2 linked regions of the Tamandua tetradactyla genome follow. The protein of the gene in region 2 purifies or fractionates together with the protein of the main gene of each other region. This does not show direct contact. Links are inferred from orthologs where the notes say so. Each region holds a gene or a part of one and is shown on either strand. Other genes may lie near its edges.

Region 1 (12,733 bases), on a different chromosome or scaffold from region 2:
TGGATGGAAACTATTAACCTACTTCTTGACAAAAAGCAGCTTTTGTTTGATGGTAGTAAATCATAGCAACAATCTTAAACTCAATGACTTTTAACAAAATTAACAAAATTTTGATATTTTCAAAGGTTTCTACTTTGCTTCCTGCTGGAAATACTGATGAACTACTTTTAATTATAAATAGCCTAGAACATTCTGTCATCATTAATTTCACTCATTTTTTATAAACAGAGCTTTTTGGTTATGTGAAAGTCATGACTTGAGCAGATTAAAACTATTTTTATGGAAAATCTGTCTGAAATTAGAAAGTTCATATTCACAATACCACCTGAATTCCTATCCTCTCAGCTCATGTTTACATTTTAGAATCTACATAAAATACATTATTTGGATATGTTTTCTTCCAAGCCTACAAAACTTAGTCTTCCTAAGCTTACCACTAAGCCACCAAGTTCAGGGCATTTTTCAGGGATAGCCACCTATTTCTAAGTGTAGTACAATTCTTATTGGATAACCTTGCAATACAGAATTTAATGTGATATGATGGCATATACAATAGATGATAACCTGCTTGTTCATACCTACCTCCTATTTGTACAGAGGCTGATAGTAAAGAACACAAATAAACTTTTCTACCTCAAGGGAGTGTTAAACATAATTCAGCGGTGCTAGTTCATTTTTTTTTCCTATAATGTCACCTCCAAAATTTATCAATATGCACAACGTGGCTGTGTGATTGTGAAAACCTTGTGTCTGATGCTCCTTTTATCTATCTTATCAACAGACAAGTAAAACATATGGAATAAAGATGAATAATAGGGGGAACAAATGTTATAATAAATTTAGAGTGAAATGATGGTGATCGGTAAAGGGGAGAGGTAGGGGGATATGGTACGTATGATTTTTTTTCTGTTTTCTTTTTATTTCTTTTTCTGAATAGATGCAAACGTTCCAAGAAATGATCATGATGATGAATATGCAGCTATGTGATGATACTGTGAATTACTGATTATATGTAGAATGGAATGATCAAAAGTTATGAATGTTTGCGTTTGGTGTTTTTTGGTATTTAAAAAAAAATTTTTTAATTAATAAAAAAAAATTTATCCATATGAACTGGGAAGGACTTTCGAGGAAAAATTACCACAGGGGAAAGAATAAAACCCAGTATTTTTTAGTATGTTCAAACTAAAAGAAACATTTCAAAACTCTTCTGTTTTTCTCTCCATAATCACTAACTCTATTGTCTTTAAATCAAAACACAGCTCACCTGACATGAACTGAAATGACCCTGGGAGGGTCTTTAGAGAATCTGTTCTCTGCATTATTCCAAGCATACACTACTTTTTTTTTTTTAATAGGAAAATTGGTTTATTTTATTATGGATTATTTCATGTGATAGTATATTAGAGAATTAAAGTAAACATACAAAAACAGTACTAGGGTCATTGGGTACTTTAATTCCCTTCCTCTAAATAACAATCGGTAAAGAGATCAGCTTTTCATATACTACTTTTTTGTTTAGCTGAAATGTCATGATCACCAGCCTAATAACAGCATTAATTATAATTTACACATATATCTCATATATAGACCTTAAATACTTTCTGAATGTTCAACTCTTAATTTTCCTCAAAGTAACAAAGAGATACGGAGAATGGGTGGTTCAAAAGTGTACATTTACCAGGCTACAAATGTTTCTTTAAATTGATATAAATGTTCTCAAAGAAAATGATAGAGTGAACAACTGAAAAGAGAATCGATAAGCTTGTAAGGGTCATTTTCAGCATTTTAATTGCAAATAACTCTATTAACTCCAGAAATCATAAGAGAAGTTGAAGATGGGAGGAGCCCAGGACTGGGTATAATCTTAAGGCTGCTAAAGTTGACATGCCTCCTCTCTCATTCTGAGCCTCAAACACTCAGAAATATGCAACAGGGAAGAGCAGTAAATAACTGATCATTCAGTGTTTCCTGATTATAAATGTTCAAACATTTAGAATGCATCTGAATATACTTTAAGCAACAAAACATATGCCAAGAGCCTAAATCAGAAGACAAAAATTGAGACCCTTGGAACTGTAGAAACAATTGCCAACATATTTTAAAGCCTATGATTACTGTACTTTATAAACAGTGAATATTTGGATTTTAATTCAAATTGAAGATATCAATCACTTACTAAAATTATCCATTCTGCTTAAGTAGAAGCTCAATGGAAGCACATGCTACCCTAGTAATCCAGTGTATATATTAAGGTAGTCAGTCAAAATGACAATAACTGCACCATTCCTTGGTACATATTTTTCTTTCAAATATGAAAGCATTAAGAGCTATCACAAGAATATAATTACAACAATCTATTTCTCAGAATACAAACTTTTTGATAGCCAATCTAACATCTCCTTTCTTATTAAAAACAAACAAAAAAACCACAGTATTAAAAAAAAATCTAAGCCATTTAGATTTCAGGTGAAAAAACACAAAAATATTACTTTCTAAACTACTCATTTTGTACAATTTAATTAATGAAATTTTTTCCTCTACTCCAATAATTTTAACACTTGGTGACTTAGTTATCTCATGTGCAATAAGGCTGTGTTAAAGAAATAGATTTTACCATATATAGTTTCCTCTTCACAGCACTGTGGTTTAAACTGGCTCCCTGACTTCCCACTGAGTCATCAAATGGTAAGAACATGCACAGTATAATGTTCTTTCAAGCACAAATGAAGAATTTGATCTACATCTGCTTTTCCTCTCAAAAAATAAACTTGGATTTATAAAGTCCCATTTGGGCTTGTTTAATTTGTATTTTTCCCTTAGTAATTTTATCTGATGGTACTGATGTATCTGTTAATTTAGCTGCATAATAATTGTTCTAATCTTAGAGGGCCACCTCAAAAGAGTTTATTTCATTCAAAACATGTTCAAGATGGAACACTTTTCACGCTGTCAAATGACAGGCTAACAGAGTAAAGCCAAATTTGTTTTGGGTTTGTTTCTATGGCAAACACTGTCAAGTAGAACATATAAATTAACATAAGCTTGATGAAACAGGCCATAATCAACTAAAATGTGAATTATAAATGAAAACATAGCTATTCCAGCACTATAAGCTACTTTGTATCACTAGACAGTAGTGAAACCCTGCCAAAAACACAGGAGACACCTGGAAAGTCTTTATGATTGTTGGGGATGGAAGTCACTGCTGATGGAACGAGACACACAATGCCAGGGCCAAACTCCTGGGTCTGACTCTTGAAAGTCATCTAAACCGAGAGCAGTGACAATCTTCAGATTTTCCTCTCTCCGGCCACTTTCAGTGGCTCTATTTTAGATGGCAGCTTTGAACAGTCAGTCATAAGGCAGAAGCATTTCTGGAATGAGAGGAATGACAAGACTTTCCCTCCACCAGCCCACCATAACACACTGACCTAGTTGGGGGCTGATGAGGAAATACAGAAGGACCAGCATCTGGCACGTTGTGCCTGCAGAGGGCTTAAAAAAAAAATCAACTTCTCAAATACCTTATAATTTTAAACCCTAAAGTGTTAAGGGCAAATGAAAATACTTTAGGGTACCAACCATTTCCATTAATCAAAAAAAAATTAAGCCAGAATATCTTCTTTAAGTCTTCTTCAGCATTGTTCCCTCCCTCCTTATCCCCAGTCTCAGGGTAACCACTATGAACATTTCTTGTGTATCCCTCCAAAACTTTCATAAGCAGCTAGGAGTTTCTGGATACATGATCTTTAATAAAGACACCCACACAGATGGGATCATCTTAAAACTTTTTTTTTAATTTAACAATACATTTTGGACATATTTCTATAGCAATGGATCTGCCTCCTTGTTTTAAGTATTCTATTTTTTATGGATGTCCCACTATATGATAACACTCTTTGTATTCCCATTCACTTTTTAAAAACTTTTTTATAGTATAGTATAAGATATATACAAAGCAAAGAAATAAAAAAGCAATAGTTTTCAAAGCACTCTTCAACAAGCAGTTACAAGACAGATCCCAGAGTGTGTCATGAGCTACCATATGATCCTCTCAGATTTTTCCTTCTAACTTCTCCAGAATATATGAAGCTAGAAGGCTCAAATATTTTTTTAATCATCACAATCGATTCATTTTTAACGTAGTGTAGATGAAGCCAGTATAACTGGTGGTAAAAGTTGATCAATTAAATCAAGGGTAGTATTGTGGCAGTTAGTACCTGCTCTTTTTCTCCCTCAATCCAGTTTCCAAAATGTATGTGAAAGTTCAAGTAAAAATAAAGTGTATGTCACATTTAGGGAGAGAGGGGAGAAAAATCACAATATATAACAATTCAAAAATTACTGTAATTCAGGGATAAATGATCACTCTACAAGTCATGCAAAACAAATAACATTTCCATCTTCTAATCTGCTGACTTTACTGCCCAAAATACATATTTTAAAATAAAGGGGAGTATTTCAAAGGAAATGTTCAAATAATGTCGAAATCAGTGCTTTTATCAGATTTTTACATTTTACGGGCATCTTAGAATGCCAGTAAGAGACGAACTGGCTTTAGACGAACACTAAAGTACTCCAAAGACGAACATTCAGTACTCTGCACCTAAGAAAAGGGGGGTGGGGGGTGGGGGGAGAAGACCAAAACTGATTCCCCCAAGGCCATCAATCTGCAGAATTAACACTTGGGCCTTCTAGAGGCTCTAATATGGAATGTGCTAGTCCCTGAGGGGCTGCAGCCGGGCCAAATTACCAGCATGCAAAATAAAAAGTAAATGACGCGCTGCCATCAGGCCTCCCCCTCGCTTAAAAAAAAAAAGGCACCTTTAACACGGCGAGGGGCCTGAGGCCCACTGCATGACAGCACAAGCACTTCCCTTTCAGCCGTTTCCTGCCTCCTGTTCACTGTCTTCAACTATACAGGAAGAGGAAGGCCTCTTGGTCCTTCTCCTTTTTCACACACCGGGGAATGGACCCATCTCGGAACCCACAAACCCAGCCTTTCACGCCTCCCGGTTCCTCCGAGTTCCCTGGACAAATCCTCTCAGCCCAAGCAGCGAGCCGGCTCCTATCCCGGCAGCAGGTGGGAGCCCGGTCCGGCGCCGGCCTGGCCCGCCGCCCTGACCCGGAAGGCTGCGGGGCTGGCCGGTTCTGGGGAAACCAGGGCCCCACCCGCTCGGCCCCGGCGCCCGCCGTGGCGGGAGGCACCGCCCCGCACCCCTTGGCCGGGACCGGCTGAGGAGGGCCCAGAGGCGCGGCCGCGGGAGCCCAGGGCCCGCGCGCCCCCCGCACACGCCGGCCGGGGCCTGTGCCGGCTGAGGCCTCCACCGGGCGCTTACCCCGGTGCCGTTGTCGCACACCACCACCTTCCTGCCCTGGCTGTCCATCGTCCGCCCGGGGGAGAGCCGCCGTACAACCTACAGCCGCCGCCGGGCCCCTTCCTCTTCCTCCTCCTCCCTCTCCACGGCCCCTCCTTCTGCTCGACTTTCTTCTCCCAACCGGAAGTCGCCGCCCGGCCCCGCCCGCCATTTAACTGAAGGCCGGCTCGGAGGGGCTGGGGACGCGAAGTAGGAGGCGGCGACTGGCAGCGAAGAGCTCCAATAAGAAAGGGGTGAGCGCCGAGTCCCCGCCCCCACCACCCACGGGGCTCTGCGGCGCCCTGCTCTGGCGCTGCTGTCACGGTTACCCGCTGGTCGCCGCGCCTCCTCGGTTCTTCCTCTCTGCGTCTTATTCCCCACCCTTCGCCGAGCGTCCACGGCGGCTGACGTGGGGGGCCGCCTTGGCTTTCACCCCGGGGCATCGCAGGAGCTGACGGTGCCTGCCGCTGCGGGCTGTGGAAGGCGGAGGCGGTGAAGGTCCGCGGGTCTGGCGCGAAGTGTCAGCGGGATGTGGCGGAGTGGGCCGCAGGGAGGGCGGGAGGCCACCTGGTGTTCCTTGCTGACCCTCATTGAACGTGTCTTTGCTCCTCATCCTGCTCTGTGGACAGAGCTGGGATGAATGCACACACATACACATAGATTCGTCACTATATATGTCACATATAAGACGTCTAGGTTTTACACTGACCTGCAATTCCAGTGATACCTTCCTTCTTTGCTCTGCTTGCTCCACAGTAAAGTGCGGTGCTTGCATTTCCAGCCTTGTCTCTCACCTTTTTCTTCTTCTAGCAGCACTTTACTGTTTTACACCCATTCGGTATTTGTATACATTTAAACCCGCCACCTAGGCTTCGGGTATCAAACAAATCTACCTCCATGGATTGTTTGTTGTGAGGATAAAATTCTGTACATAAGTGTTCATTCACTAGTGGATTTTTCTTTTTTTTTTTTTGCATGGGCAGGCACCGGGAATCGAACCGGGTCTCCAGCATGGCAGGCGAGAACCCTGCCACTGCGCCACCGCCGCCCGCCGGGACATTTATTTTTAAGTTCATACTTTTAAACATGTAATTCTAATGCCCCATCTTTTTTCTTTTTAATCAGCTGGCAGATTTTTATTCATTCCCTAGACCCAAATTGTCACATCTATAAAGACTTTGCTTATAACCTCAAGATGTTTTTTACAGCCTTTTTTTGTGTTGTTATTACTTTACCATGTATATATGAATACACTTAATGTATATATGTACACTTAACAAATACTTGATGGATAAGTGACATAAAAGTTTATGTAGAAAATGCCATCATTTTAGAGAAGTGAAAAGTAGAATTGTCCCTTTCACATGGGTGTCCAACATGTACAACTGGAATAAAACTTGAATCATGAACTCCCAGTCCAGTATTTTTTTTTATAATACCAGGCTGTGTCCCAGTTTCCACATTGTTCTTTTATATCACCAGTTTTCAAACCTTTAAAAGTGTAAAATCTTTAATTTAATCTTATACGGAACCTCAATCTATAAAACGGGCAAATGTCACCATAAGTGTAGTTGGAAGTTTCAGAAGTAGATGCAGTGGAAGGCCACAAGGGACTGGGCCTTCCCTTCACCTGCTTCAGTAGACTTTGAGGTACCTCAGCAGGTTGAACAGATTGAGAAAAACACTGCATTAGTTCTAATTTTCCTTAAGAATGAGTCCACCTGTTACTTTTATGGCCCCGGTGCTTTGCACAGTGAAGTTTTCCTGAAAGTGCATCTGATTGGTCTCCATAAATTAAACTCCAGCGTTTCTGAGTTCTTTTACTTCTCTTTGTGGAATTACATGGATTACTAATTTTTACTTTCTAAGAAATCACTTTTGTTTTTCTTCTGATTATAAAAATGATACATGCCCTTGGGTGTGCAGAAGGATTACTCTGCTTCCAGGGCGTATCGGTTGAATCCCTGCTGAGCCTGTGAGGAGTGCGGAAGGGGCCAGCCAGGACCCCATGAGAATATGCCACTTTTAAGTAGCCTTTTATTTTTCTGAGAAATGTGTCTGTCAGTTTTCACCGATTGTTCAAAGCTTCCTTGGGGGACGAAGCTCAGAAGCATCTCACCGGGCCATCTTGATGAGTGCCTGGTCTCCACACAAAAGAATATTATTCAGTGATAAAAAGGAAGAAACTACTAATAAACACTGGGCATGAATGAACCTAAAAGACTGCCAGACACAAAAGGACCATATGGTTCCATTTATATTAAATTTCTATAAAAAATCAAATTTATAGAAACAGCAGACAAGCGGCGGGGACTGGGGGAGTGGGGTTTGAATGCAAACAAACTATTTGGGGTGATGGAAATGTTCTCATGATGGTTGTTCAGCTATAAACTTACTAAAAATCATCAAACTGTATACTTATAACAGGTAAATTTTATGGTATGTAAACATAACTTCAACAAAGTTGCTTTTAAAAAAATTAAGTTACCTGCCCAAATTCCCTTGGCTATAATGTCACCGAACCAGGAGTAAGTACAAGTGTGCCTGAACTCCAAAGCCTGGATTCTGATTATCCAGGGGATTTTTTCAAAACTCCAAATCTGTCATGAAAACCAGAAGCCCCACTTGGCATCCCCAACTTGGTGATGATTTTCCTGGAGGTTTTCTAGTATCTGGACCTGATTTATCTTACTCGCTTGACTGGAAATTGGTCAGTATGTTTTTATGATTATAGAGTAATACAATGGTTGTTAAAACAGACTCCTATTTTTGTAGACATGTATCATACTTGAGGAAATTGAGAAGGAAAATAGTGTCTACTAGTAATTGAAGTAAAATAATGATAACTTTGTTCTCCAGAATTCAGAGTATGGATGGAAATGATATAGTTGGATTCAATGAAAAAAAGCAGTTATTTGTGTCTGTGGTTTCTAAATTAATGAGCACAAAGGTACCTTGGAAATGTTCTCAGTAGAACTTTAGTTCACTTTAGAGATGTTCACTCATTTTAGAAACTGATGGTATTACCGTATATTTAATGCCTTATTCTGTACCTGAAGAACTCAAGAATGGGACATACATATGATTTAATTCTATTTATTTAATTGTTTGGCTTTAAAAAGCAGTTAGCCAGAAAGTTTGTAATCGTGTCAGAAAAAAAAAGTCTCTATCTTGTCAACTCCTACAGGTAATTCTTATTTATGTTGCTAAGATATATGTTTACATTAACAGTGTTAAACTAAGTCAGTTAAAAGCAAATTAATCCATTTGAAAATGTTTTAGGCATTTACATGACACTTCACTCTGAAATTCTTCAACATGCCCTTCATAAAAAAAAAAAAACACCACCATATAATATTCACATCAAAGAAAATTAGCAATAATTCTTTATCATTTAATACCCAGACCATACTCCTACGCATATTTACCCACTTGTCTCTAAAATGTTTATAGCTCTTTTTCTCCTAACAGATCTAACCAGGGTTCATCATTGCTGTAGTTGTTGTGTCTAAATAGTCTCAATCCAGCCAAGTCCCGAATTTTTTTTTTTTCATGACATTGACTTTTTGAAGAATTCAGGCCATTTGGCTTATAGAAATGTTCCATGTTTTAGATTTGTCTGATTGTTTTCTCATGGTTAATTATATGTTTTTGCTGGCAATTTAGATAATGTTACTATAACATTTGTTAGTACCATAGATGGCTTGGGTGTATTGCACGGATATTCTTTGCTTTTGATGATACAAAGTGAACACTGTTTTAAAATCAAATCAAGAGAAGGTCTTATGATACTCTAAGTACATATTGTCCTGATTTAGATCCAACCTCAAAAAAGTATCACAATCATGCAAAAACAAAAAAGGTATCTGCAATCTGGGATCTGTGCTTGGGAAAGGCAATAAGTATCATGAAAGTAAATTCAATATTTTACTATTCAATTCCTGAACACTTTGAGTCTCTTGCCTACTTTTAGGTCTTCTGTGTACATAAGTACATCTCAGGATTGGAGGAAAATATACTCCAATTTTTGTCTAGATATTTCATAATTTGAGAGCCTTAAATGATCATTATTTTTAATGTAGTCAAATTGATTACTGTTTTTTAAACTTTTATTGTGGACATTTTCAAACTCATAAAAATAAAACTACAGTACAGTGAACTGTGTGAACCCATCACTTCACTTCAGTCGTCGTCAGCTTTCTGCCATCCTTGTTTCATCTGCCTTCCTCTACACAAAGTTTTTGGTTGTTTTGTTGTTTGCTGGAGTATTTAAAAGTGAATCTCAGATATCATACCCTTTCTCCTTTAAATACTTTGGGACATGTTTCTAACAGTGAAAGCATTTTAAAAACATAATCACCAGAATGCAACACCAGGTGGGAGGTAGCGTGGTCGCTGAGCAAAAGACCAAGTTGTCCAAGAATCTATTGCATATCATATTCATGCAAAGGCAATTGGACTTAAAAACAAGAAACCACTGAAAAAGAAAGAGAAGAAAATCATCACTGAAAAACACTGGTATTTGGATTTGCCAGAACTTAAAGAGAGAGTTTTACAATAGAGCAGAGTTTTCCGCTAGGTGAAGGCCTTCTCTGTGGAGGAATGTCATGCAGAGGGTCAAATCTGAGAGTGAGAAATTAGTGCTTCAGATGAACACTAAAAAAAGAGCAGAAGACATTGAAATGAAACAGTGGCATTCAGTGTATCTGATGAAGAAATGATTAAAAGATAGGAGAACTTGGTGGGAACAACTGGAAAAGTTTTCCAAAACCAACTACAAAGAAGATGAAAATGGAAACATAGAACCAATTAAAGCAAAGAAGATGTTCTTAAAGCCCCAAAATTAAAATAAATGCCCTAAGATATGTTCCAGGATGCCTCATGAAAGTTATGGCATTTTGGAACTCATTCCAATTATTTCTCTAGTTATTAATACTGTAGTGTTTATTCATAATGAAATATGCAATTTCAGAAACATGCTGTTTGTGAAACATGTGTGATGGATGTTGTACCGATTTGAAGCTATTTTGTCCCCCAGAAGAGCCATGTCCTTTAATCCTCATTCAATATTGCTCAGTGGGACCTTTTTTTTTTCTCAGTGTGAAGGTGATTTATTGCAAATGCACTTTTCAAGGAACTGGAGGAATCGTCCCCAAACCTGTTCAAAGTGGGGATGTAAGTTAGGGTTTTTATAAGTAAAGGGAAGGGGGAAGGGGTCAAAAACTAAGTAATGTCCACATGGTGCATTCTTGTCAGATAAGCAATGGCATTGGATCTTCATGAGGAAGGCATGGACAGATGTCTTGTCTTGTGTTGTCTCAAGTGCGTCTTGTTTCAGCTTCAGTGATTAGATTTAGATATTAACGTGCAAACTCTTATGTGCAGGGTCTTCATGATGCCCTTTTTAGCTGATCCTAAGTGTGCTGGTTTGAAAAGATTTATATACCCTAGAAAAGCCGTGTTTTTTTTCCTTTTTTAAAAAAGTTTATTTATTAAACATACCAACATAAAAACACAAACATTCTTACCGTATAATCATTCCATGCTACGTATATAATTAGTAACTCACAATATCATCACATACTTGTGTATTCATCATCATGATCATTTCTTAGAACATTTGCATCAACTCAGAAAAAGAAATAAAAAGAAAACAAAAAAAATTCGTACATGCCGTACCCCTTACCCCTCCCTTTCATTGATCACTAGCATTTCAATCTACTAAATTTATTTTAACATTTGTTCCCATTATTTATTTATTTTTAATCCATATGTTTTACTCATCTGTCAATAAGGTAGATAATAAGAACATCAGACACAAGGTTTTCACAATCACAGTGGGACCTTTTTGATTATTTCCATGGAGATATAACTCACTCAGTTGTGGATGGTAACCTTTGATTAGATTATTTCCATGCAGATGTGTCTCCACCCATTCAAAGTGGGGTTGCTTACTGGAGTTCTTTAAAATGGAACCATTTTGAAAAAAGCCTTAGATCCACCAGAAGCAATAGAGCCCAAGCAGCCAGAGACCTTTGAAACAGAAGGAAAACACCCCTGGGGAAGCTTTATGAAATGAGGACAGAAAGCTAGCAGACATTGCTGTGTGCCCTCCCAGATGAGAGAGAAACTCTGAACTTTATTGGCCTTTCTTGAGTGAAGGTAACCTCTTGTTGGTACCTTAATTTGGACATTTCCATGGCCTTAAAACTGTAAACTTGCAACTTAATAAATTCCCCCTTTTAAAAGCTGTTCCATTTCTGGTTATACATCCTTTGCTTAATAGTATTAATCAGCAATGGGTTTTTAACTCTTGGTCTTCAAATGTACATGTGTACATGTATGTCTCCTAAAGATTTTTTTACCTCCACTTTAAAAAATACAGCTCTCTAATCACTGACTTGAATTAACTCAGATAAATTAATATCAGTTGCTTTAGTTTGCTAGCTGCCGGAATGCAATATACCAGAAATGGAATGGCTTTTAAAAAGGGGAATTTAATAAATTGCAAGTTAACAGTTTTTAGGCCGTGGAAATGTCCCAATTAAAGCAAGTCTGTAGAAATGCCCATGCTAAAGCATCCAGGGAAAGATACCTTGATTCAAGAAGACCGATGAAGTTCAGGGTTTCTCTCTCAAGTGGGGAAAGGTACCTGGTGAACACGGTCAAGGTTTCTCTCTTGGCTGGAAGGGCATATGGCAGAACACAGCATCATCTGGTAGCTTCCTCTCCAGCTCCCTGGGAGGCGTTTTCTTTCTTTATCCTCAAAGGTCACTGGCTGGTGGACTCTCTGCTTCATGGTTCTGTGGCATTCTGTCATCTTTCTCTGCTCTCTCTGAATCTCCTGCTTTCTCCAAAATGTTTCCTCTTTTATAGGATTCCACTAAAGTAAACAAGACCCACTTAGAATGGGTGGAGACACGTCTCCACCTAATCCAGTTTAACACCTAGCCTTAAGTGAGTCACATCTCCATGGAGATAATCTAATTAAAGTTTCCAACATATAGTACTGAATAGATTAGAAGAAACAGCTGCCTTTACAAAATGAGATTAGGATTAAAACATAGCTTTTCTAGGTTACACACATCCTTTCAAACTGGCACATCAGTGTTTAAATTGACCATATGTTCATATTTTATTTGTAATTATTCATTAAGTACATACAATTTTTACTACAATTTTACTGAAATATATTCACACTTCATACAATCCATCCAAAGTATACAATCAATGGCTCATAATATCATCACATGTATATGCAATTTTGAAACCAAATGTCTTATGAGAATTTATTCTATATAAATTTATCAAGAATGAATGTGCCACTCCAACCTGAAGTATTTGCATGCTGCCAAGTCATTATCAGTTATGGT
Region 2 (11,929 bases):
GTAAGAAAAGTCCTTGCCATCAGCTGGGCAGGGACGGTGGACGCCTACCTATACTTGGCGGCTTCATGGTGACACTCCCCTCCTCTAACAGAGTAGTGTCAGAGAAAGCCAGCTGCAACGGAAGGTTTAAATAAATCCAGAGTCTCATAAAATAATCCCAAAATGTCCACGTTTCAATAAAAAGTATCTCATCACACCAAGAACCAGGAAGATATCAAGTCGAATGAGAAAAAGACAATCAACAGATGCCAACACTGATATGGCAGAAATGCTAGAATTATATGACAAAGGTTTTAAAGCAGCCATAACAAAAATAGTTTGGTGAGCAATTACGAACATGATTGAAACAAATAATAATAAAGAAAAGAAATGGAGCATCATAATAAAGAAATGGGAGGTATAAGGAAGAACCGAATGGAAATTTTACAATTAAAAAATATAAGTGAAATAAAAAACTCAATGAATGGGCTCAACAGAATGGAGAAGGAAAAAAAAAGTCAATGAACTTGAAGACAGAGTAATAGAAATTATCCAGTCTGAACAACAAGAGCAATAGACTAAAAAATAATAATAATAATCATTAACAAAGCCTCTGGAACCCATGGAACTGTGACAAAATATCAGCCATTCATGTCATCAGAGTCCCAGAAAGACAGAAGAAAATGCGGGGGGCTGAAAAGTTACTTGAAGAAATAACTTAAAAACTTCTCAAACTTGGCAAACGACAGACTTAAGAAGGTGAGTGAGCCTCAACAGGAAAAACCCAGGAAAACCCACACTAACACACATCACAGTCAAACTTTTGAAAAATAAAGACAAAGATAGTATCTTGAATGGAGTGAGAGAGAAATGAAACCCTGTCTATAGGAGAAGAACAATCTGAATGATAGTGAATTTCTTATTAGAAACCATGGAGGCCAAAAGAAAGTAGCACCACAGTAAGTCTTAAAGATTTATTGTATAGCTACAATAATCAAGACTGCGGTACTGACAGGGAATAGAGATATATTGCTCAATGGAATGGAATCGACCCACACAAATCTGCTCAACTGATTTTTTTTTTTAAGTATACAATGCAGTGGCATTTATTACATTTACAGTGTTGTGCTATAACCTCCATCCAGTACCAAAACTTTTTCATCACCCCAAATCAAAACTCGTACCCTTTAAGTAATACCTCCTGATGCTGAGGCCCCTGGTAACCTCCAATCCACTTTCTCTCCCTAGGAGTTGGCTTAGTCTAGGTATTTTGTGTAAGTGGAATCATACAGTATTTGTCCTTGTCTGTCTGGCACATTTCATTCAACATGATGATGTCTTAGAGTTCATTCGTATTGTAGCAAGTATCAGAGCTTCATTCATTTTTTTGTGGCTGAATAATATCTCATTGTGTGGATGTACCACATTTTGGTTTCCCATTCATCTCTTATTTATTTACTTATTTCTTCATCACATAGTTGTATATTCATCATCATGATCATTTCTTAGAACATATGCATCAATTCAGAAAAAGAAAACACAAAAAAATTCATACGTGTCATACCCCATACCCCTCCTTTTCATTGATCACTAGCATTTCAATCTACTAAGTTTATTTTAACCTTTGTTCCCCCTATTATTTATTTATTTTTAATCCATATGTTTTACTCCTCTGTCCATAAGGTAGATAAAAGAAGCTTTAGACACAAGATCTTCACAATCACACAGTCACATTGTGAAAGCCATATCATTATACAATCATCTTCAAGAAATGTGGCTACTGGAACACAGCTTTACAGTTTCAGGCAGTTCTGTTCAGCCTCTCTGTTATACCTTAACTAAAAAGGTGATATCTATTTAATGAGTAAGAAAACCCCCCAGGATAACCTCTCGACTCTGTTTGCAATCTCTCAGCTATTGACACTTTATTTTGTCTCATTTCTCTCTTCCTCCTTTTGGTCAAGACGGTTTTCTCAACCCCTTGGTGCTGAATCCTAGCTCATTCTAGGATTTCTGTCCCATGCTGCCAGGAAGGTTCACATCCCAAGACCTAGAGAGGGGGATGCCCAACTGATTTTTTACAAAAGGACAAAATCAATTCAAGGGAGGAAAGGGAGCCTTTTCAACAAATGACACTAGAGCAATTGGATGTCCATAGACCAAAAAAATGAACCTCAACTAAGTTTCACACTATTTACAAAAATTAATTCAACATGGATTACAGACTTATCTGTGAAATGTAAAACTGTAAGTCTTTTTAAAAAAAAGCACAGGAGAAATCTTTGGGATCTAAGGCTGGGCCAAGTGTGCTTAGACCTGACACGAAAAATATGATCCATAAGAAGAAAAATTGATAAATTAAACCTCATCAAAATAAAAAAAAAATATTTTGCTCTGTGAAAGACCCTGTTAAGAGAATGAAAAGATAAGTTACAGAAACTATTTGCAAGCCACATATCCGATAAAGGATTAGTATCTATAATATGTAAAGAATTTTTAAAAGTCAACAGTGAAAAACAAAAGTTAATTTGGGAAATGGGTAAAGACACAAAAAGACATACAGATGGCAAAAAAGCACATGAAAATATGGTCGACATCATAACCATTAAGGAAATACAAACTAAAACCTCAACAAGTATTGCTATATATGTACCAGAGTGGTTAAAATAAAAAATAGTTATAATACCAAATGCTGGTAAGGTTGCAGAGAAACTGGTAAGGTTGCAGAGAAACTGGATCACTTATGGATTACTGGTGGGAATGTAAATGTTATAGACACTCTGGAAAACATTTTGTCAGTTTCTTTAAAACTAAATGTCGAATATCATAAGACCCAGCAACTGCACTTCCTAGTTTTTGTTTATGCTTTTTAACAGTAAATGAAGACTTATTCTCACACAAAAACTATTACAGAATTGCACATTGCAACTGATATAGTTGTGTAGCAGCCCAAAACTGTAAACAATTCAGAAATTCTTCAAAAAGTGAATATTTAAACAAACTGGAACATACCTACCATGGAATATTACTCAGCGATAAAAAGGAGCAAACTATACAAGCAACAAGCTGGATGAATCTCCAGAGAATGATGCCAAGTGAAAAAGTCCAAAAAGTTGTAACTGTGTGATTGTTGAGATGACAGAATTATAGGAATGGAGAAGAGATGAGTGGTTGCCAGGGTTTAAGGAGGGAGTTCTGTTTTGCTAAAGCTGTGGGAAAGCAATATAACAGAAATAGATTGGCTTTTACAATTGGGATTTTAGTAACTTACTATTTACAGTTCTTAGGCCTTGAAAATGTTCAACTCAAGGCATCAGCAGGTTGTTGCCTAGACTCTGAATACATGCTGCTGGCATCTGGGACACTCTGTCATGGGAAGGTACACGTGGCTGATGTCTGCTGGTTCTTCTCTCCTGGGTCATTGCTTTCAGCTTCTCACTTCAGGGGCTTCCTCTCTGCTTTCGGTGGGTCACATCTCAACTGAAATAACATAATCCAAAGGTCCCACCCATATACACCCACAAAGAATGGATTAAAAGAACATGAGCTTTTCTGGATACATACAGCTCTCAAACCATTACAGAGGGGTTAGGGTGGGAAGTCAGTATCGGTATAAAGTGGGAACATGAGAAATTCTTGTGGCGATGGAAACTGTCTGTATCTGACGGTATCTATGTTGGTATGGAGGTAGTGACCCTGCACTACAAGTATTGCTACATATGTACCAGAGTGGTTAAAATAAAAAATAGTTATAACACCAAATGCTGGTAAGTTTGCAGAGAAACTGGGTCACTCATGGATTACTGGTGGGAATATAAATGTTATAGACACTCTGCCAGATGTTATCATCTGGGGAAACTGGGTAAAGGGTATATGGGATCGCTGTGTGTTTTTCTTATAAATGCTTATCAGTCTACAATAATATCAAATAAAGTTTAATTTAAAAAAAGAAGATATCCTCTCTGTAGCAGTATCAATTATTCAGCACTTTTCCAGCCTCCTATTTTCCAAAAAGCTGCACACTTAAGTTTTAAGAATCAGGATTTATCAAAGTAGGGTGAATTTTAATATTCTCTGAGCTTTGTGCTCTTTTAGCACTTATTTAGGGGTTTTGCCTACACAGATTACTCTAGGGACTTCCAGTTTCTCATTTGTGAATTATTATTATTATTATTACTTTCAATGCTTCCACAGGGCTAATTCACTCAGCTTCCAGAATTCCTGTCAACCCAAGGCTAATGACCCCATTTGGTACTGAGAGAAATCAAAAAAATTATTTTCTGAGTCACCTCCAGATGCACGTCCCCCAATTCTTTCTTCTTTCACACAAGAGGGGGCACCTGTATTAGGGGAATTTTGGAATCACTGGTGTGTTTCAGGTCATTAGATTCCTCTCCACCAGAGTCTGTCTCATGCTGCCTCAGAAATTGCCAGTTTTTGAGGGTAGGAAAGAACTCTCAAATCCAGCATTTTATCTGGCCCTATGTCTCACCCTTCAGAGCCAGCTTGGACAGAGCCACAGTTTCCTTCAGGCCCACGAAGGCACTGTGGGTAGATTCTAGAACAGTGTGACTATGGATTTTTCTCTCAGTGTAGGGTTAGATAATTTTCGTTGGCTTCTTGTAGTAGCAGTTCTCAGCTGACCAGACTTGACTGGGTGGCTTCTGGCTACAGAGATGCTGCTTGTGCACAAATCATCTGTCCCAACCAGGGATAAGACCAGGATCTGAAACAGGCAGCCGGAAGGCAAAGGCCTCGAGATTTTTCTTTCTTAAATGGCTGTTCTGTGATCGGATTATCTTGGAGAAACTGGTGTCCTGGAATATTTGATGTCAAATTTGAAAAACCAGGGAGAAGGAAATCAACATGTTTTAAGTACCTGCTATGTGTTGGGTGAAATAATCATTTGGATGACCCCCTACTCTCTTGATGAAGAGAGTAGGTTCAGAGAGAAGTGCTGTGCTCAAGGTCACACAAGTGGTAAGCGGTATAGCCTGAAATCAAACCCAAATCTTCCAGAATCTAAAGTCCACGCTTTCTCTATTCTATCATATTGACATAGAGGCAGCGTAGTGTGGTGGTTGAGTGGAAAGAACACATGCTCTGCAATTAGACAGATGTGTGTTCCAGTATTAGCTGCAACTGTTTCAAGCTGTGTGACCTTGGTAAGTCATGTAACCTCTCTGAGTCTCAGTTTCATCACCTAAAAAATGAGAATTATGAATTGTTTTTATGGCCGAAGGATTGTTGAGGGATTTCAGTTGATTCACATGCTCACCACTCAGCATAGCGTCTGACATATAAAAATAGTGGATGATTTGTCTTCCAAAGAGTAAGCCAGTTTGGTTACCAGTTCAATCTCAAAGAACTTTATCAACCCTTATTTTCCCCCACTGCCATCAATGTCCTTTGTTTAATTAAGGATAAGAATCATAATAGTAAATTGTTTTTTGTGCATCACCATATGCCAGGCAGTGTGCTAGGGTCTTCTCCCCCTTTATCTCCATTTAAATGAAGTGAAAGGCAAAAACTTGCAGCAGAAAGCGTGCTGGGTGCCTGCTTTTTGAAGCTGCCATTTGAAGGTAAAATGAAATTCACCTTCCATAATGTTGCGTCACACCAGCAGCTGTAGCAACAGATACCATTTGTTGAGGGTTTGTTACAAGTAAGGGACTATACTACATTCATTACATATGCGATCTTATAGAATTCCTTTCCACAATACTGAGGGGGGGGGGCTGCTATTACCCCTATTTTACAGATGAAGAAACTGAGGCTTAGAGTGGAAAAATAATTTGCTGTTATAGTGGTAGCTATTTGGTTCAGGTGAACCTTGATTTCCTGAATACATTTCCGAGGCTGATGTTTAAAATGAAAATAACCCTGCTGAATCGCAAAGATGTCATGCCTTGGGAAGTAAACAGCCTTCAGCAGGCTTACTTGGTCAGTTCAGTTCCTCCTGCCCCACTTCCCCAAATCTTGGCAGTTCAGAACGCACTCGACAGCTATTCACAGGGCAATTTCCTCACGCTAAAGATTAGGAAAGTCAGGCCTAGAGAGGGGAAGAGAACTGCCCCCAGATCAGTCTGACAGCAAAAGCCGGGGTTCAACCCCCGACTGGGAGTTCCAGTTTCTTAACCAAATGGGTGAAAGATTTTGGCCAGAGAAAACAAGGGAGGAACCCTGGAGCCTCCCCTTTCTCATCTGCGAAATGGGGTAATGACAGACCCACTGTGTAGCTGTAGGGGTTACGTGGGTATGGTCCAGACCAAGGGCTGCCTTTCGGTCCTGGGAATGTGAGAATTGGAGGCGGACGGGTGCTAGAGCTTCCGGGGTCCCGGAGGGCTCGGGAGCAGGATGAAGAGGGTAGGGGCGGAGCTTCGGAAGTGAAGAATTCAGGGCGGGGCTTGGAGTTGTAAGCATATAGATGGGCACGCGGCCGGCAGTTGGCGAGGAGCCAGGTTTAGGGAGCCCGGAAGCTGCCTTCTGGGCTTTGCTGGACAATGGGCGGATCTCTGCGGAGCCGAGGGGTGTGGCTCTGTAGTGCCTAATGGATCAATGGGCAGAGCTCTAAGAATCCTGCGCTTGGTTGCAAAGAGCAAAGGGTGTGACTTGTGGGGGGGGGCTTGTGGGCGTGGCCCTGCCACCCTAAAATGACTGGTGGGCAATGCCGGGGCTTCGGCACCCACCCACCTCAGTGCCCCCGTGCATTCCCGGGCGCGACCAGAGAGGGCGCTAGACAGGAGTTGGAGGGGAATTGGGGCGTGGAACGTGGGCTGGGAAGCGGGCGTCCCCTCCCGGAAGTGGGCGTGGCCCTCTCCGGCTAGGCGACCCCGGTTGGGTGCGGTGCGGCGCGGGGGCGGGGCCCGCGTGCGGCGTCGGCTACCCGCGCCCCTCCCCCGCGCGGCGCTCAGTGCCAGGCGGGAGGCGGCAGCGGTTGGAGGTGTCGCGGGGTTTGCAGCGGGGACTTCGGCGGCAGTGGCGGCGGCGGCGGCGGCGGCGCCTCTGACACCTCGGCCCTGGTGAGCGGCGCGCGCCCGGTGGGGCGGCTCGGGAGGAGCCGGGCGGGGACCCGTCCTCTAGGCATGTGCTGGCGCCGGCTGTCAGGAGCCGGCGGGGCGTGGGGCAGGGCCGGGTGGAGGGGACCGGACGGGGTGGGCGGCGGGTGTGCAGGGGTCAGGCCGGGGGCTGCTGCCAGAGGGGTCTGGGGGAGCAGCCGCCTGGCCTGGGAAGCGTGGGCTGGGGTTCCTGTGGGGAGGGGGCCGTCCAGGAGAGGCTTTTAGCGGGCAGAACTTACCTCTCTTGGTGCGGGCTGGGGGCCGGGGGCTGACCTAGGGTGTTTTTCAGGGGTCCGGGACTGTCGTGGTGGGCTGAAGGGCTGGGGGCCGAGTGGGCTGGGGAAGGCTTTTACGAATCTGGGACCCGCCTGCTCGGCTGAGGTGTTTGCTGGGCGGGGAGGGGTTGCTCGGGTCTGGAGCGCCGAGCTGGAGGCGCCAGGCCCGGGGGCGGGGCGTGAGGCGCCCTAGGGAGCGAGTGGGTGGGGGGTGGATAGGGGCCGGGCTCACGTGGGGCGGGGGCGAGCTGGGCCCGCATGGGTGGGGCGAGGGCGGTCGCCCGCGCTCTGGATGCGAGGCCAGGTCTGGGCCCTGAAGGTCTGGGTTGGGGTCCCGGGAAGGGCGGGGCAGGGCTAGAGCTGGAGTAATGTGGGTGGGGGCGGCTTGGGGAGAAGCCGGGCCCCCCCTGAGGGAGCGGAGGTCTGGAGCCGCGGGTGGGGGTTGGGAGGGGCAGAACGAAGCGGGAACGCTGCGGGGTCGGTGGCCTGAGGCGTCCGCAGGAGCGAACTGGATGAGCCTGAGATGTGCTGCCCTAATAGCGGGGCAGCCGGCGGGGGACGCAGGGAACAGAGCGAGGTGCATGCAGGTGGGGCTCCGGCCGCGCCAGCATGACTGAGGATGAGGTCAGATGTTGTGGGGAGAAATGCAGGAGCCGAGCTGTCCCGCGCGTCCCCACTGGCGCACGCACATCAGCTCCTTCTCTTCTGATCTGAACGTGTCGGGGGAAGTGGCAGGCGGCGGGCAGCCAGCGGAGAAGAAAGGGGCTTCCTCCCGGAGGGAGGCGCTGGCCCTGCCATCCTTTTTTGGGAGTATTCAAAGGGTTTTAAGCGCTGGAAAAGGAAATGTGCGCTTTACGGCGCGGTGGTTTGGAATCATATCCTATATTTGGCCTTAATGTAGGCTCTGCTGGTTTTGTGGTGTCTGGAGTGCTTGCTCTACATGTGGCAAACGTGGGATTCGGAGTGAGAACCAAATTGCAAGTTGTTCATCTTCCCTAGGTTACAAGATACAGAGGCCTTTCTTTCCTATAAGGCATTTTAAAAGAATTGCATTTCGTGTGTGTCTGTGTGTGTGTTTAATCTGGTACTGGGTGGCGAAAATGCTTACTTTTGGAAATAGTTATCACAAAACATTAGGCCCTATTACGGCAGCCTTCCTGCCTGGGATTACATTCTAAAACAGTACTTGTAGGGCTCTTAGTCACTCTATATAATAATGCATCTCATTGTGCTTATCTGGCAGAACTCTCTCCTGACACCAGGGCCTGCTAGAATAGATGGAAACATGATTAAGTATAAGCAGTTGCTTTGTACATCTGTTCAATTGTGCAGGCTAATGGCTATCTATTTAATATTCACTCTCTGTGTTCACTGTAAGACTGAAGAAATGGGGAAAATCTATTTTGGGCTAGATTCTGTATATCTCAGAAGGTTAATTTAAGGAGAATTTTAAAAAATTTTTCTGATTTGGAGATAGGTTTCAGAGTTATAATGTTTGAATGTGAAGTCTGATAGTAAATGCTGGATCTGAGTGATTGCATATGAAAATAGAAAGAAAAAAAGTGAAAGAAAACTGAGAATTGTGTTATACATTAGGCCCTGAAATGCAACATTCCGTGATGGGAGATGGTCATGTGTGCTGAAGGTTGACCAAAGATTGGTCTAAAGGTCAGGCCACCTTTATGACAAATTCTTAATGTGCTTTGTTCATCTTTGTTTCCTGTTACTTGTGGAAGGTACATTAAAGCCTGATGAATTTTAATAGGCACTTCCCTGTGAAATATTGCTGCACCCAGTATTGGATTTTTCATGATCATTTGTTACTTTGCAGATTGCACTAATTGGCATTTATGTCTGTTACTTTGTATCTACTTTAGGATTAGATTCAGGGTTGGCAAGTAGCATTTTTTAAACGCTGTGGATCTTATTGATTTAAATTTTAAGCTTAATGCATCTGCCACTTCTGGGATCCACTCCAACCATAGGAGAGTTAGTCACTCTCATGCCTATGAAATGGAGTGTTCAAAAGGATAAATTATCAGTTTTATAGCTGGGAGTGTGGAAGATTCAATTCTTAAGGCTCGCAAAAGATTTATTTCTTAATATTTCAATTTGTCACAAATTGATGCTTTAGAGACATATCGATAATTGGGCCATTTTACCTTTGACCTCTTTTTTTGTATGTGGAACAATAGTTGATTTGGGTACAACTTTCATATTCAGGGTACCAAGCCGTGTGATAAAAACTCTTAATGTTGTTTTCCATTTGATGAATTCCCTGTGTTACCGTCCCTCTAAATCATGAAAACTCTTTTCTGACATATGTAGACCTTTTTTAAGCTAAGATGCCTTTTCTGTATTAAAACATGAAAATCCTCATGAATATTTCAGTATGACCTAGAATGTGAAGTAGAATGCTAAGTAATAGAATCTCTCTGGGTTTGCAGTGCCCTAGTTCAGATCCTTTAACGTGAGTGAGCAAAATTCTGTACTTCTTTCTGAGACCTCACTTTATTTCAGGGATGCATCATTTTTTAACATCTTTATTGAGATAGTATACCGTACAATTCACCTATCCAAAGTGTACAATTCAGTGGTTCTTAGTATATTCACAGAGTTGTGCAACTGTCATCACAATCAATTTTTCCTTTCTCCAGAAGGTAAATCAATAACGATTAGCAGTCACCCCTCCTCCCCAATTCCTTCCAACCCTACCAGCCCCTGGCAAGTATTAATCTACTTTCTGTCTTTATGAATTTGCCCATTCTGGACGTATCAAATAAATGGAATCATATAACGTGGTCTTTTGTGACTGATTTCTTTCACTTAGCATAATATTTTCAATGTTCGTCTATGTTGTAGCATGTGTCGGAACTTTATTCCTTTTTATGGGCAAATAATATTCCAGCGAGTAAATATACTTTGTCCACTCCTCAGTTGGTGGACATTTGGGTTGTTTCACCTTATGGCCGTTATGAATATTGCTGCTGTGAACAAGTTTTTGTGTGAGCTTATGTTTTCATTTTTATTGTGTATATACCTAGGAGTAGAATTGCTGGGTCTTATGATAACTCTATGTTTATCTGCTTGAGAAACTGCCAGACTTTTCCAAAGTGGCTGTACCATTTCACATCCCCGCTGACAATGTATGAGGGTTACAGTTTCTCTGCATTCTCCGACACTTATCTTTTTTATTGTAGCCATCCTGTGAGTGTGGCATTGTATCTCACCATTGTTTTGATTTGTGTTTCCCTGATGGAAATGATGCTGAGCATCTTTTCTGTACTTATTGTCCATTGGTGTATCATTTGGGTTATTTGTCCTTTTATTATTGAGCTATCAGAATTCTTTATATATTCTAGATAGAAGTTCCTTGTCAAATATAAGATTTGCAAATTTTTTCTCCCATTCTATGCCTTGTCTTTTCATTTTCTTTATGGTATCCTTTGAAGCACAAATGCTTTTAATTTTAATGATGTCCAATTTATACATAATGAGTCTTACTAGTTAGAAATTGTTTAGGCCTTAAATCACATCTTCATCGATATTTTGGTTATATAAATTAAAGATCAAATGTGGAAGTACTGAGGAAAGATTTTAATTAGTTCTTTTTAATTTGTGCTGTTGGTTATTGGGAAACATGTCATTCCTGGCTCAAATCCTTAAGGAATAAAGTTCAAACTTAATGTGGTTGTGGATCAAGACAATCTCTGATTTCTGCATGCTTTATTTCTTACTACTTCCCTTCCTATGTCATATAACTCCAACCCCTTTCCAAAATGTCCTTTGGGATTGCAGGCCATGTGACATTTCCTCCATAAAATCTTTGCAGCGCACCAGGGCAGTCATTGCCCCTGCCCTCGTACAGAGTATCGTCTTCATTGCTGTCCACTTCAAGGAACTGGACCTGGACCTGAACTTACAGTCTGAAAGCCACCTCCACATAGAAGGCAGAATCTGAGACAGAAATTCACGCGAAAGGCTGAGCAGCTTCTCTTGCTGTCAGCTCCAAGCCCAGTGCCTTACTAGATATTTACTGAATGGATGATTGTTTGTTAAAGTTAACTGAAAATATCCTGATGTCAGTGGTTTTCTCTCATTACTGTTTGCATCTTTGTTTCTCTGTTAAAAAATAACCTGAGTACAGGAGTAATTCCCTTCTGCCTTTCTGGCATCCCAAGTCTAGCTCTAACCAAAAAAATTGCTCAGATGAAAGACCGTATTTGAAACATTTTCCCTGGAACAGCACATCCTTGCCCAGGATCTTTTCTCCCAGTGAACGGTGCTGACTGGCGCACAGCCTTCTCGTGGGGCACCTGGCCAGGAGCACACTTAGTGTGGTATGTGTTGGCCACACAGAATGGCACAGGCAGCCCTGATGGCAGTCAGTACTGGAACTACACCTGTGTACTCTCGACGATGGATGTAAATCTGATTTTACGGGCCCATGCTTCCCTTTAATCCTTGTTTTCATGCTCTCTTGCTTCTTTTGGAACGTCTGAGTATTACTCAGTTATACTTTGTGTTCTTATGTTCATTTTTAATGATTTAATTAAATATGTCCCTTAACATTTTCCTGAGAATTAGAAGAAACCAGTGGACTGCTTGGGGGATATT

What was found.
Region 1: the proteins of CORO1C (region 2) and ACTR2 fractionate together in Homo sapiens (co-fractionation; 3 studies listed by BioGRID and IntAct, with this or other methods). This does not show direct contact. The link is inferred for Tamandua tetradactyla from reciprocal best matches to the Homo sapiens genes CORO1C and ACTR2.

Annotation. Positions count from the first base shown.
Region 1 is NC_135343.1:38,488,290-38,501,022, reverse strand, and holds the start of ACTR2 (actin-related protein 2), read right to left. Parts: upstream 5,528-12,733; 5' UTR 5,391-5,527; coding exon 5,343-5,390; intron 1-5,342. UniProt on the Homo sapiens protein: ATP-binding component of the Arp2/3 complex, a multiprotein complex that mediates actin polymerization upon stimulation by nucleation-promoting factor (NPF).
Region 2 is NC_135331.1:22,648,449-22,660,377, forward strand, and holds the start of CORO1C (coronin-1C), read left to right. Parts: upstream 1-6,883; 5' UTR 6,884-7,001; intron 7,002-7,276; exon of another isoform or gene 7,277-7,513; intron 7,514-7,594; exon of another isoform or gene 7,595-7,631; intron 7,632-11,929. UniProt on the Homo sapiens protein: Plays a role in directed cell migration by regulating the activation and subcellular location of RAC1. Increases the presence of activated RAC1 at the leading edge of migrating cells.